Linked DNA regions of Rattus norvegicus. The protein of the gene in region 1 purifies or fractionates together with the protein of each later gene. This does not show direct contact. Links are inferred from orthologs where the notes say so. Each region holds a gene or a part of one and is shown on either strand. Other genes may lie near its edges. The genes, in order: Rab1b and Gdi1.

What was found.
Region 2: the proteins of Rab1b (region 1) and Gdi1 purify together in Homo sapiens (affinity purification with mass spectrometry; 3 studies listed by BioGRID and IntAct, counting the BioPlex papers as one, with this or other methods). This does not show direct contact. The link is inferred for Rattus norvegicus from reciprocal best matches to the Homo sapiens genes RAB1B and GDI1.

What each region holds. Positions count from the first base shown.
Region 1 is NC_086019.1:211,838,323-211,845,631, reverse strand, and holds the start of Rab1b (ras-related protein Rab-1B), read left to right. Parts: upstream 1-2,409; 5' UTR 2,410-2,480; coding exon 2,481-2,494; intron 2,495-4,121; coding exon 4,122-4,194; intron 4,195-4,436; coding exon 4,437-4,532; intron 4,533-4,632; coding exon 4,633-4,728; intron 4,729-4,982; coding exon of another isoform or gene 4,983-5,111; exon of another isoform or gene 5,112-7,309. Other genes in the region: Klc2 (kinesin light chain 2), read left to right, coding at 24-148, 305-362, 781-864. UniProt on the Homo sapiens protein: The small GTPases Rab are key regulators of intracellular membrane trafficking, from the formation of transport vesicles to their fusion with membranes.
Region 2 is NC_086039.1:157,236,150-157,243,474, reverse strand, and holds the start of Gdi1 (rab GDP dissociation inhibitor alpha), read right to left. Parts: upstream 4,576-7,325; 5' UTR 4,452-4,575; coding exon 4,407-4,451; intron 3,239-4,406; coding exon 3,131-3,238; intron 2,972-3,130; coding exon 2,872-2,971; intron 2,735-2,871; coding exon 2,600-2,734; intron 2,189-2,599; coding exon 1,990-2,188; intron 1,736-1,989; coding exon 1,604-1,735; intron 647-1,603; coding exon 547-646; intron 1-546. Other genes in the region: Atp6ap1 (V-type proton ATPase subunit S1 precursor), read right to left, coding at 5,833-6,042, 6,256-6,484, 6,573-6,620, 7,298-7,325. UniProt on the Homo sapiens protein: Regulates the GDP/GTP exchange reaction of most Rab proteins by inhibiting the dissociation of GDP from them, and the subsequent binding of GTP to them. Promotes the dissociation of GDP-bound Rab proteins from the membrane and inhibits their activation.

The DNA.
Region 1 (7,309 bases):
TAGAGACAGTTCTTCCCCCACAGGATGGCAGTGGCTCTTTGAGGCGCAGTGGCTCCTTTGGGAAGCTCCGGGATGCCCTCAGACGCAGCAGTGAGATGCTGGTGAGGAAGCTGCAGGGAGGTGGCCCACAGGAGCCCCCTAATTCTAGGTGAGTTTCTGACCCTTGATTGTATCCTGTTGGCTCCCAAGTGACTTCCCATCCCTCTCAGGAAACACTGTCACCAAGTCTGCTTAATCATGCCCTTCATCCCAGACCCAACCTGGTGTCCCTTTATTGTCTCACCATGGCCCTCCTTTTCCTCAGGATGAAGAGGGCCAGCTCTCTTAACTTCCTTAACAAGAGTGTGGAAGAACCAGTCCAGGTAAGAACGGAGGGCATCTGGTTCTAGGCAGCCGAGACTCAGCTTCTGGGCCCTGGTTTTTCTGTGTATAGCCCCATCCAACTTCCCCTGGTGAGTCTTTATCCAGCAACTGCTCTGGTTTCAGGCCTGCTTTGGGCTGGGAGGAGATTGGTAGAAACAAGTGGAGGAAGAGGTCAGGCAAAGGGAAACATCCCTTGTCTTGGGGCAGAGACCCAGTCAGCCAGGCCCACGTGAAGCTCTCAGGCAGGTACTGGGTGTGAGCTAAACTTTAACTTGGGCCAGTCTCTGACTGCCTGGATTTGCACAGGGGACCTAGTTTGGCCCTTTCGACAACCCTTCCTCTTCTGGAGTCCTGCTCCCCTCCCCCTCCCTTCACTCCCAACAGTTTAGGACTAAGCTACACATCCTCTGCCCACAGCCTGGAGGCACGGGTCTTTCTGACAGCCGCACTTTGAGCTCCAGCTCCATGGACCTCTCCCGAAGAAGCTCCCTCGTGGGCTAAAGCTGAAGGGGCAGCCAGTCACCAGAACCTCCATCTGACATGATCCCTCCCCCTAGCCCTGCGCATGGGCCTGCTGCTTGTCCTGCCTGCCCCTCCCAAGGACCCCTGTCTTTTCTGTTCAATCTCAGGGTAACTTCCTCCCTTGTCATCTCAGCCAAGGCCCTGGAGGATGGGCCTGCCGGCTCCAGCTCTGCTCCTTATTTATTCCTTCCAGCAGGGGGCCTCTCTTCCCTATGTACTGGGCCTGTGGGAGTGGTGGCCTACCTACCCAGTCCCCAAAGCCAAGAACACTAAGTACTTGCTGTCCCCTCAGCACCTTTCCCCTCCACTCCCGGCCGTTGCTTCTGTATATAGAGAAATAAGTTATTGGCCGTGTCATTCAACCCTCCTCCCCTCAGTCCACGGTATTCCCGGGCCACCACCTGCCTCTCTCTTATCCAGTGGTACCGCCCAGGCCTTAAATCACCCTGTTCCCAGTGGTGGTATCTTCCAAGCTCCAAGTTCTGGGACCAGAGCCTCCCAAAAGGGGTTCCTAGACCTCTTCGCCTGGTCTTGGAGGGATTTCCACTCCACCTTGCAAATGCCCGGATCCCCCACACCACGGGGCCCTGTGCTGCCTCCTGGACTTAATGCACTGTTCTTTCAACCTAGCCCCGCCCAGGCATGGCCTGACCCCACCCTGGGCACAGCCCGTTGAGCCATCCTGCCACGCCTCCCTAGCCTCAGCTTCTGATGTCCCCCTTCCCCCCACACACAGGAGGGACTACCCCATTTGTTGGGTAAGGCAGTCGCTCTCTATTTTCAGATGTTGCTGTAGAAATAAAGACGATTTGAACCTGAACCGGGCTTGTTTTGAGGAATTCAGAGCCCCTGAGCATCCCTAGAGTCGGGTGGAATCAGGAGAGACTTCGGGAGTGAGGGATACACACATATCTTCCCTGCCCTCGAGGCTGGAACTAATACTCTGCTATTATCCTGAACTGTTTGGGGAGATGCTACAGATTTGGGGTTGCGTCTAACATGCCCTAATGGGGTTCTAGACAATTCCGTCTGTGATGTCTTCTTGAACTGAGTTTCCTGAGGATTTTTCATATATGTAATACTAGTGATCACATAATCCTAGTGCTAGGGCTGCGGAGTGCCCATCCCATGAAAAACGCTGAATAAGTCAAAATCTTCTGGCCCTAAATACCTCCCACCTTCTAGTTTCAATCTGCGAATCTAGAGGGTAAAGGTGGCAGCCCATCTTAGAGGCGAACCGTACCTACCCCGGTGTTAAATAAGAGCCTGCACCTGCGGATTGGGTAGCACAACGAAGATTTTTGTAGCTAAGTTGGTTCAGGGATTGGGAAGACTACAGACCCCAGAAGGCCGTTCGCCGGAGGCTACTGGGGTGCACCGCTGCTCGGGTTCCCTGGGTTGCGCCTGCGCAGCAGTGGCAAGTCGAATATCCATGGAAACTACAGGTTCCGCAAGGCAGCGCGGCGCAACCCGAGTCGGAAGTATTTGCGGCTGCGCAGCGCGGGCGGGGCCTCTAGGGCGGAGCGGCCACCATCTTGGAACGGGAGGCGGAGCAGAGCCGACTGGGAGCGACCGAGCGGGCCACCGCTGCCGCCATGAACCCCGAATAGTGAGTGAGCCCCGCCCGCGCCGTGCGGCGCAGCCTCGATCCTGTCTATGGGGCTATATGCTTGCCGAAGTTGTCTGGCCTTGGTCAGAACTGCGCGGCGCCCCCACATCCGGGTCCCTCTTCCGCTGACCCCCCCCTTACATCCGGGTCCTGCCCTCCCCCCGGGATCCCCAGGACCCTGGCTCAACACCCCGAGTTCTGCAGCCCGGGTCCCTGAGGCTGCAACCTGGATGGGCAGCACTCGGAGCCCGCTGCGCCAGCCCTCACAGGCCTTTTCGGTTAGGTGACCCTGCAGATTTGGTCTTCCTGAGCTTCAATTTTTTTCCCACCCACAGCTTGACCAAGGGCAGGCTGTTTGGAGCCCATCACAATAGTTTCTGATCTCCAGAGTCGAATACTTTCAACTGGGCTGTGAACCTTTCTTTGCCTTTCTTCTGGAGCCTCTGTCCCGGGGCCGGCCCAGAATCTGACCAGACAAGAGGGGACCCCCGAGTCCCTGCTTGATTCACATTCCCTACAGATCCTTTCCTCTGAGGCTACCATTTGCCCTGCCTGGGTCGCGCTGTCATGTTGCTCCCGGCAGTCCGTCCTTTTCTGTCCTCTCACCTTTGCTCAGGCCTCCAGTGCCACTGTCACATAGCTTCCCTCTGCTGTCACACTGCCAAAGCACATTAGGTGAATGTGAATTTGCTTGCTCCCTTAGAGCGGAATTTTTATTCCTCAAACTCAAACCCTACATACAGTTTTGCACCCACGTTATCTTCTTCCCCTTCTCCACTTCCTTTTTCTTCCCCAACTCTAGGCCTCAGATTTCCTTGAGGAAGGGTTGAACTCACTAGTGGGCTTAGGAGGGGAACAGAGAAGGGAGGCTACCAGCTGTCAAAGAGCTTGGAGTCTGACAGGCCTGGTTTCCAGTCTCACAGTTATCAACTGCTTAGGACAAGTCACTTCCCTTCTGTGACCTCTGGTTTCCTCCGTAGTTGGAAGTAGTAACACACTTCTTTGCACTGTTGTGAGCATGTATTTCAAGTACATCCAGTTACAATTTAGTATTTACCACTGCTTCCATGGCCACTTGTTGACCGCCTCTTGTGTGACTTCATCTCAGGCTCTTTCACATTTTTGTTTTGTTTTGGATTTTTCAGACAGGGTTTCTTTGCAGCCTTGGCTGTACTGGAACTCACTCTGTAGACCAGGCTGGCCTCTGACTCAAAAATCTGCCCCCGCCTCTTCTGAGTGCTGGGATCAAAGATGTGCACCACCTTCCCCCACCACACATACACCCCACCTCCCATCCCACCTTCATGTTTATTTTTACTTCATGGGTCAGGCTTTCGTTTTTGGGTCCTAAGCTGGCATAGTGTAAGGCCCAGCGTGAGTTTCTTAAATAGTGTCTGCCAAATAGCACCGCGTATTTCTTAGCAGATTGTGTTCTTTTTGACACAGGCTGAAGGTTTTTGTGTGCTAGCTTATTGGGGATACTAAGGGTCAATCAGGACAGTAGAAGGATCTAGTGAGCACCAGAGTAGACCAAGCAGAAGTATGCCTTGTAGTGCTGTCATGCTTACTACAGGAAGGAGGGGGAACTTCCTGCTCGCCTTCATACCTTCCCGTCTTCTCTTGCCAGTGACTACCTGTTTAAGCTGCTTTTGATTGGTGACTCGGGCGTGGGCAAGTCATGCCTGCTTCTGCGGTTTGCTGTGAGTAAGAAGCACCCCTGTATTATCTACTTGGGGTCCTGGCTGACCACCGGGAAGAGGAGGGGGCAGCTCAGAACACAGTAGTTGCAAGTCCGAGAACTAAGAGTGTGGTGGCTGGAGCTGCCACAGCAAGGGCCCAGGCCCTGGGAGTCGGGTGATTAGAACTGAGGCTTGGCAGTGAGAAGCACCACAGGGGCAGGAAGCCAGTCTCTCCAGTGTTTCACTAGCCACAACCTTTTCAGGATGACACGTACACAGAGAGCTACATCAGCACCATTGGGGTGGACTTCAAGATTCGAACCATTGAACTGGATGGCAAAACCATCAAACTACAGATTGTGAGTATGGCTTTTCTCCAGCCCTCGGGCAGAAGTCTTTTCCTTGGGGTGGGAGTTCTCCTGTGGCTGACCTACCTACCCTTTTCCTCCTGACTCATAGTGGGACACAGCTGGTCAGGAACGGTTCAGGACCATCACTTCCAGCTACTATCGGGGTGCTCATGGCATCATTGTGGTGTATGACGTCACTGACCAGGTACTCCTTGCAGCCTTACCTCCTGAGCCTTGAGTTTTGATTTTTGCTTCTTTTCCTTAAACTTTCTGGAAGGGAGACACTATCTGAATTGCTTCATAAAAAGGGCAATAGGACCACAGAACTGGATTCTACCTAGACCCTGTCATGGAGTCTTGATAGAACTAGGCCACAGGGCACCTGCTGCCTTAGTCTAGACTTTCCAGACTACCCGTGTTTCTATCCACTGGTTGGTTACTATTGCTCCCTGTCTGCAGATTCAGGAAGCATTGGAAGGCTTCAGACAGCACAAGAGGGAGCCCAGTATAAGAAGAAATTCTGAAATCCTGTATCTGCTGTGGTGGCTTCAGTCATGTGTCACTGGCAGCAGCCAAAAATTGTCCTGACAGTGTCTTACATCTTATAAACACTGTAGCCTTTAGATTTCCTTCGTTAGTTACCTCATAAAATGTGAGTTTTGCTCTGTTACCAGCCTATCCCAAATTCCTCCACTGAAATGATCCTTTTCTGTCTTAGCCTCCCTAGTAGCTGAGGTAGTGGGGAGCCACCAATGTGCCTGGCTTCTAATTGGTGATGATGGTGGTGGTGGTTTTGGTTATTCTGAGACAGGGTTTCTCTCTGTATCCCTGGATGTCCTGGAACTTAATCCGAATAGACCAAGCTGGCCTCAAACTCCTAGGGATCCCCCTGCCTCTGCCTCCCAAGAGCAGGAATTAAAGGGGTGAGCCTCCACTGCCCAGCCCTGTGAGTGTCTTGTGATGCTCATAAGAAGTACCTCATTCTCTCATCTTAAAGATGAAGATCTGGGGGTTGGGGATTTAGCTCAGTGGTAGAGCGCTTGCTTAGGAAGCGCAAGGCCCTGGGTTCGGTCCCCAGCTCCAAAAAAAAGAACCAAAAAAAAAAAAAAAAAAAAAAGATGAAGATCTGGTTCAGGCTGCTGCAGTAGCTTGCTAAGGGCCTTCCATCTAAGAGCCTAGTCCTGATCCATCTGCTTTGCTTTTTCTATCAAACCTTGTTGCTTCCAGTCCCCAGGGATATAGAAATACAATTAGTCCCAGGCTGGAAGAGCCCAGAGACTTTGATACCCCTGCCTCCACTTCTTTTTTTTTTTTTTTTTTTTTTTTGTTCTTTTTTTCGGAGCTGGGGACCGAACCCAGGGCCTTGTGCTTCCTAGGTAAGCGCTCTACCACTGAGCTAAATCCCCAGCCCCCCTGCCTCCACTTCTATGCCTCCACTTCCTAGCTCTTCTTAGCTGGATGAGCTGAGTGTCATTCAAAGGTCACCAAAGGCTTTAGTTAACTACCAAAAACCCAATCACCTTCTTGCCCAAATTGACTTCTTGCACTTGTTTTCTTCTCTTTCCTTTTCTTTTTTTCTTTTTCCCTTTTCTTTTTTTCGGAGCTGGGAACTGAACCCAGGGCCTTGCGCTTGCTAGGCAAGCGCTCTACCACTGAGCTAAATCCCCAACCCCTTCTTTTCTTTCCTTGAAGATAATGTGTGAAGCTCCCCGTCCCACCAACCTAGCACACACTCGTCCACTGGCATACCTTTACTGCCCATTAACCCATATTTTGGGCGTCCTCTTCTGTAGTTTGGGTTTGCCTTGTGTTCTGGAGTCCTTATGCCCAGACAGATGCCCCATTGGTTCCCATGTCTGTCTGCTTGAGCTGGCCCTTGGCGTCTGTAATGGCAGTAATCTCTTCTTACCCAGTGAGTGAACTGTGAAGCCCTGTGCTCTGCTGTGCTTTCTGTTGCCACAGTGAGCACCAGGTGTTAACAAAAGGCTCTGTCTGGTCCCCAAAGGAAGCCAGGGCATGAATTCAAATGAGCCACAGAGGCGCCTCCTGCCTTGTTCTCCATAGGCTGCTCAGCATCTTTCCTTAGACTTCCCAAGACCACCTGCCCAAGGGTGACACTGTCCACAGTGAGCTCCCCTCCCCCATCCGCCATCAAGAGAATGCCCCAGAAGTTCACAGGGCAGTCTGATAGAGGCCATTCCTCAGTTTAGATGTCCTCCTTCCAGAAGTTCAGGTTTGTGTCAAGTTGAACTATGTTTCACATATGAAGAAATGGTTTTCCAGAAGTATCAGTAGCCTGCCTCTGGAATCCCAGAAAAACAAAGCCCTTTCCCTGCCTTCAACTGCCTCTGCCGGCTCCACACCAGCTGCAGGATGCAGGCTCCAGTGCACAACTCACCATCTCCCCAATGCCCTGCATCCTCATTGTGTAACATAGTCCTCCCTCGTAAGGTGACCAGAAAACCCCCTTCTCCATAGTCAGTCTCAAAGCACCTCCATTCTTTCCTCCTCACTTCATCTGTCCCTCACAATAATGGCAGTGATGAGGATAATAGCAGCTCTTGCTAATTGAGCGCTTGTTAGGAGAGGCGGGCATACATTCTCATGCAAACAACAGTGCTGCTGGGAGGTGTTATCTGTACAGAAGAGGAAACTGAGAGCCAGGTCAGGTGACTAAGGTGACAGTCAAGATTGTGCTTTTCCCTGCTTGGTCCCCTGGCTTAGGACTTGTTTAGTCCATCCACTTCTTAGTTCTGCATCTTGTTGGTTTGGTCTGCTCTAGTCCT
Region 2 (7,325 bases), on another chromosome or scaffold:
GCCCAAAACTCAGCACCCAAGGCTGAAGGATAGTTGGGGGTTGAGGGATAGGCATACTATCTCAGTTGGTAGAGTGCTTGCCTATCATGCATAAAGCCCCGGGTTAGATTCCCAGCAATGCATAAACCAGGTATCTTGACACACACCTGTAATTCGGCATCAAGAAGGTGGAAGCACAAGGATTGAAAGTTCATCTTCAGTTATATACACTATTTGAGGCCAGCCTGGGATACAGGACACCCTTTCCAAAAGAATACATTCAGGAATACAAAGTATGTGACTTCTGAAGGATACCTCTTGATTAATTTAGATCCATCTGCCTTGGCCTCCCAAGTACTAGGAATACAGTTGTGTGCCACTACACCTTGTAGTTTGAAGGATATTTCTTGCCAACAGGAATAACTATGTAGAGTTTTATTGACCACCCAGGCTTTAGCTATAAGGTTCTCAGGGTTAAGAAGTAATAAGGTTCCCTAAGAACATAGCTCTGAAAAAGACCAAATCTTACCCAAACCATGGTAATACAAATGCACAGGGCAGGCTTACCTCTCCCTCAGATTTTACACCCACCACCTTGCCATTTTCCATGATGATGTCATCCACTGGTTTGTTCAGCATGTATGTTCCCCCATAGATGGCACTCAATCTGTAGTAAGAAAAATGATGGGGAAGTCTTCTCAGAAATGTGGGGACCAATTCTACTGTACCCTCCTCACCCCACCAGTGGGGTAGAGAACACAGGTATACAGAGTTTAACTCCAACTGTTTCAGGTGTCCCTCCCATAAACTTAGGGCCCATACTGACATATTCCTTCCTCTCTGGTGTTTCTGTACATATTGTTCTGCAAAGGGTCAACAGAAGGTAGCATGAAGAAGTAGCTCCACATAGAAACAGCCCAGGAGGGGTTGGGGATTAGGCTCAGTGGTAGAGCGCTTGCCTAGGAAGCGCAAGGCCCTGGGTTCGGTCCCCAGCCCCGAAAAAAAAAACAAAAACAAAAAAACAAAACAAAACAAAACAAAAACAAACCAAGAAACAGCCTAGGAGTCAAGAATAAAGAACTCTCTGTAAGAGATTCAAACTCCAGGGAAGCCCAGACACAAGGTTCCGGGGTCCTAGACTTAGTCCTGGTACTACCAAGAGCTGGGGGAAGCTATGTTCATGGTGACCTACTTCTTTACTTTGTATTTCCACCTACTTTTAAAATTATATATATATATACACACACACACATACACACATGTGTGTGTTTTGTTTACGTGTATATCTGTACACCACATGCATGCCTGGTGCTTATGAAGGCCAGATGAAGGTTATGAATTCCCTAAAACTGGAATTATAGATGGTTGTGAACTACCATGTATATTGGTATTGGAATTGAACCCGGGTCCTTGGTGTAAACAAGTGCTCTTATCTGCTGAGCCATCTCTCCAACCTCTACTCTGCACTTTAATGCACTAGGGCTATGCCCCCATTACCCAGGGATACAGTAATATACATGAAAATTAGATGGGAAAGTAGGAGATGCCACAAAAATATTCAAGGTAATTTCCATTCTTGGCCTTGTCTTACCAGTAATGCTAGCTGAAAAAGACAGATCCTCACCTGGCAAAGCCCTGAGGCAGCTCACCCAGGCCATAGAGTGGGTACAAATATGGGCTCTTGCCATACCGGGCCAGGGACTCACTGTACAACTTGATGCGGTTAATAGTCTCAAGACATGGCTGATCCAGGTAACTACGGAAAAAGAACCAGGGAATATGCTTTGATAGCAGCACCCTTGTTCATTTACAAAGACACCAGCCAGCCTTCCCACCACCCTTTGTGACCTGGCAAAGATGTGGGTCAAATGGAGAGGGATGGAAATGGAACAGGTGAGCCTGGAGCTGAGTACAAGTGACATGCAGGATGGGCAGTAGGTACAATAGGCAGGTGTGGAGAGGGTGTGAGCCAGACAAGGGGCTCCCATCACCAGCCAGCTTTCCCCTCACTCATCAGTGCGGTAGAGCGCCAGGGCATGGCCAGTGAAATCAATGACATCTTGGCCCAGGTCAAACTTCCGGTAGACATCACGCATGCTGGTGGTCTGCGGGTCAACACCCTCAAAGGTTTTGGGGTCATTCTCATCAAAGTTTGCCACAAACACCAAAAATTTTCGGAAGCGTCGTTTTTCAAACATGCCCATCAGATCTGAAAGAAAGGTATTGAAAAGATCATTTGCATTACTCGGACATAGAGCTCCTCTTTCTAACAGAGCAGGCCAGGAAAATTGGTGCCTTGGCTCCCACCAGAACTCTCTTATGCAACACTGCTCCACCTTTCTTGGTCTCAATTTTCCTATTTGTAGGAAGAGACCCTCCCAGCTCCACTTAGGGCAAGTAGGCCCTTTGACAAAAAAGAATCCTCTTCTGTGAACTTCCTTTCTGGCAACTTGCCAAGATTGGTAGCACTGTCCAATAAAGAAACTATAAAGCAAGGGGCCTCTAGGACTACACGGAGCTAAGATTAGGTTTATGCAAAGAGGAGCCTTTTGCCCAACTGTCCTGAAAACAGTTTGTCCCCTCCAGCCCCATTCTTCTGCTTAAGGAGACTCATACTCACTAGAAGCCAAGGCCTCAGTCTCAGTAGATGGCACTTTGTAGATCTTGCCCCCTTTGTATACAAAGCTGCCCTCTACCACCTTGAAGTCCAGATAACGAGTCACTTCTGTATACAGTAGCATCTTTACCAGCTGACCTGTGTCCAAAGGGAGTAAGGGTGTGTTTTCCTTCAAAAAACTCTCAGTAGTGTGACTGATCATATTCTGGAGATTGAACACCCCATACCCCATCTTCCTACTCACCACCCCCATCGCCCTTTTTAATCTCCCTCACCATTGGCCATGAGGAATTTGGGGATCAAGTCAACATTCCAGTCTCGGCCCCGGCCCATTGATTCAGGGGGCCCTTCCAGCAACTGAAAGCGCTTATATAGCTGTAAGCAGGACAGGAAAGAAAGACAAATGTCAAGGACTAGCTTCCCTTCCCCACTCTCCTGCCTGGGACCTGAGAACTACTTCCCCCCTTTACACCTATGTGGGGGACTAACAAGGGGTCTGGGTCTAAGCCCAAGTCTGAGAATAAGAAATCTTACCTCCTCAAGGGGTGTGATAGAAGAGCTCTCACCCCCATAGTAGGGGTTTCGGTCCATGTGCAACACCTTCTTTCCATTCACAGACATGATGCCAGACAGGATGCATTCCTGGGGAAAGAGTGGCATTGGCAGCTATACCTCATCTACCCTCCAATGAGCATCTCTGATTTGTCCCTGCCTCATGCCCACTACAAAATTCATAATGCAAAGTCCTACCTCTTTCCAGTGCCTAAAACTGGGGAGGGGAAGATAGCTTCATATGATGTTTCCTTTATAACCCTGCTGAGTAAACTACTAGAGCATTAAAGGAGGCTTGGGGGACAGAGCTTACAGTTCTTCTAGCATCAACAAGCCAAAAGTATCTACCTGCTCTGAGCTCACAAAAAGACAAGACAATGAGTCTACAGAAGAAACAATTCAAAGGCTCTTTGAAAGATAAGGCCAAGTCCTTGAAATCCCAGGCTCCACCCTGCTCCTCCTTTTAAGGGCAGGAGCCCCTGACTCTCTTCTGGCTGTGCATCCACTGCTCTAGGCTCAGGGTTCAAACGAAAAAAGATTTGTGCGGGGGGGGGGGGGGGCGACGGGGACACCGGACACTCTCACCAGTCACTGTCACTAACCCAAGGACAAAGGCTGAGGATATATATTCACTCTGAGGTCTCCATGGGAAACCGAATTGGGGTAGAGGGAAAGCGGTCACTAACACCCCCTCCCTACACACCACACACACACACACACACACACACACACACACACACACACTCCCTCCCTCCCTCCCTCCCGCTGTTTCTGGAACATTCCATGGGTTCCCTATCCCTCCCAAAAGGCAGAGAGGCAGGATGAGGGCCCACCCTTGAAAAGCCCCCATATCTTTATCTTCATACTCCATGCCCTAGTGTGATCACAAGATGGTAAAAGATGCTAATCAATTACTTGAGCAGGTGATGAGTGCAGGCGAAGGGTGGGGTTGGATGCAACGGGTCCAGTGTGTGTGAGGGGGGTGAGTTTTCCACCTCAGTGACACAGATAGGGAAGGTGAGGGGTCCGTGGTTAAGATCTAGGGTGCTGGAATACTGGCCAAAGTGGGGCCCTCTACGAAGAATTGCGAACTGGCATCAACACTCTAGGATGAGGTAGTGGGGTGGGCATGGGCTTTTCCAGGGCTGGAGGCAGGAACGCAATGATGGGAGGATGGGTCGGGTAACCCGGACTCTGCATCACTGCGGGGTGGGGGATGGCATGATGCAGGGCTACGAGCGCCTGAGGTGGCACTTACGGTAAGACCTGTCCCCAGCACAATCACATCGTATTCCTCATCCATGGTCAGGCCTTGGTACCAGCGCCCGCTCTTCTTCTCCTCCTCCTCCTTCACCACAGCAGCTGCTACCAATGCCTCTACTGTTGCTGTTGCTGCTGCTGCTGCTGCTGCTGCCGCTGCCGCTGCCGCCGCACTGACCCAAAGATGGCGTCTATCGGTCGTCTCCCGATCCCTACGCAGCGTCAATGAGTCCCTCTCCCTCCTCTGGCCAAGCCACGCCCAACCAAAGCCACCATTTCCTCGCTTGTTTTCTAGGAGGGGTTCTGGCACCTGGGTCCCAGCACCAGAATGATTGCAGGGGTTAACGCGGCTCTCCGTGAGCCCAGAGAAATACGGGGCGGGGCAGGCCGGCGGCAGGTGCTACGTCTAGCGAAGGATCCTTGCGCGGGAGCTGCGCGCGCCCCGCCCCGCCCCGCGCGCTCCCGTACCGCCCCTGGGAGAAACAGAAAGGCATGGAAGCCCTGCAGTGTGTTGTTGCAGCTGGCCCTAGCGCTGGGAGAGCTGCCATTGTCAGGATTCCTCCCATGGCGAGGAAAAGTAACAAGCCTCTTCTCCGGCTTGTTAAGAGTATCGGCTTACTGAAGACCCTCCCACCCTTCCTCTCTCATTTCTTGCCTGACAGGACTACATCTGAGCAGTTCTTCCCTTCAGTCAAGAACAAATCTACTTGTCCAGTGTAGAAATAAGTGGCTGGAGCCCAACACATGGCAACACGTCTTTATTTTATTAGGAATGAAACAACAGAGCACACCCCCCCCACACACACACACACATACTTCTGGCTTCTTGACAGGCAATCCTTGTGAGAACAAACCAGAAACCCAATGAGTACACTTTGTTCTCCAGTTCTCGTGGTGATTTCTTCCTTCTCAGGTCACAGAAATAAACCCCAGTGTACCGCTCATTCTTAACCCCCACCCGCCAAAAAAAAAAAAAAACCCATAAAGGCTAAGCTGGACAGTTAACTAGCCTTTCCACACCTCTCAAATTCAAGGGACCTCAAGTTCATGGCTATTGCTGGAAAGCTCCATAAAGCTTGGGGAGTGAGTATTTACTACACAAAAGCACTATAAACAGCACGAAATAATAGCAGAGGGGCAAGAATAAATAAGGAGAAAGGGAAAGGGGGGCACCCTAGAATTAAGGTCCCTTCCCCTCTTGATGAAGCCTGGAAGATTTATCTATGAAGAATAATACACTTTGTTGGTAGAAGTGGGGGATAGCCTCAGGGAAGTCCCTGTCCAGGAAAGAGGAAGCAAGACAGGCTGAGGGTGGTGTATGTAGGGTTCATGCTATAGTAGGAAGAGGACAAACCTTTCCATCCACTGTGTCACAAAATGGAAACCTAGACACCAATACTCCCTCAATCCCTCTCTGGTATATGTCACACAATCTGGGTCAAAGTGATGGTGGGGCCCTTGTGGTCATCAAAGCGATCCATGGTCTTTAGGCTGAGTATCATGTGCAGACCATAGGTGAATATGAAAAGCATGAAGAGGGTGGTGAGCAGCCCCATCCAGATGCCCGGAGAGAAGAAGCCAGCACAGTCGCTAGCATAGGAGAACTGTTCACCAGTCACATTGAAGGCTTGGATCTAGGAGATACATAGACATGGATCAGATGGGACCACAAGGTTCTACAAACAGTTCAGTGCTGGGATTCTGGAATTAATGAATAGTTATACCTTCAGAGACTATACAAGGATGGAACTCTCTCGGCTACATGCTCAAACCATGCAGAGATTCTCTGGGCCCTTTTTCCCGCCCCTTATTGCCACCAGCTTGGGGGCCCATCACCCTTTCAATACCTGGAAGTTATGAAGAGTCATCTGCCAGAGGGAGGGCACGTTGGTCACAAGGAGACTGCCTTTCTTGCTCAGACTGCTGACGTACTCACAGTGGAAAGAATAGATACTAGGTCCTGTGACTTGGGAAACATTGAAATGGGCAACCGAGCCATTGCTGTGGATTTCAAGTCGTTCCATGGTAAACCAATATCGGGCAGATACTGGGTAGAAGCGACTAGCCAGAATGAACCTGGGAGGTGGGGGTTGCAGAGATGTCAGATGAACAAAATAGAGTGAAGACATACCAGCCCAGCCAAACTTCAGCCAACAGAACTTACTTGAATGTCACTGTTGCACCAAAGAGTGGTTCATAGGTCAGTGAAAGCCTATGGGACAAGGCACAGGAGTACTGTCAGGCTCTAGAAGAACCTTAAGAAGATCCTGATCAGGTTGGCTCCAACCTAAGCAACCCTAGATCCATCCTTATAGCCAGCCAGCTGTCAATACAGTGTCCCCATTTACCATATGGGAAAACTAAGGCTCCAGTCATAACCAAATTAGGAGCAGCTGGAGCACAATTAGGTCTTACATCTCCAGCTTAGGATTCCTTACTCTGGTTTTCCTGAGTCCTGTAGGCCTCCTTCTTGGGATCATTTAGCTGCCAGCTGAGATTTCAAGGGTAGAAGACCTAGAACTGGTTTTAACAGTTGGTCTGGTATTTGCCTACATGCAGTCCAAGGGGTTGGGTTCAAAGAAGGGCCAGGGTCCCAAAGGATTGTGTGGTGTTCAGGACCCAACAACCAAGACATAAAAGCATGAGAAAGCCAAACTCCTAAGAGGATCCCTCTCCAGTAACATCCCAGCAACATCACCTGGGATACTGTGATATCCATCTCCTTGGTGAACACACCACACAAAGACCTTTCTCACCCCAAACATATATACCTATATACCTACACACACACACACACACACACACACATCCATCCCACATCCTTGTCCTGTACTGGGCTCACAGTAGCAGGAAAACCATATATGACAGGATAACCTTTTTTTCCCTTACATGGCAAAGGAGTCATTCCAGAAGGAGC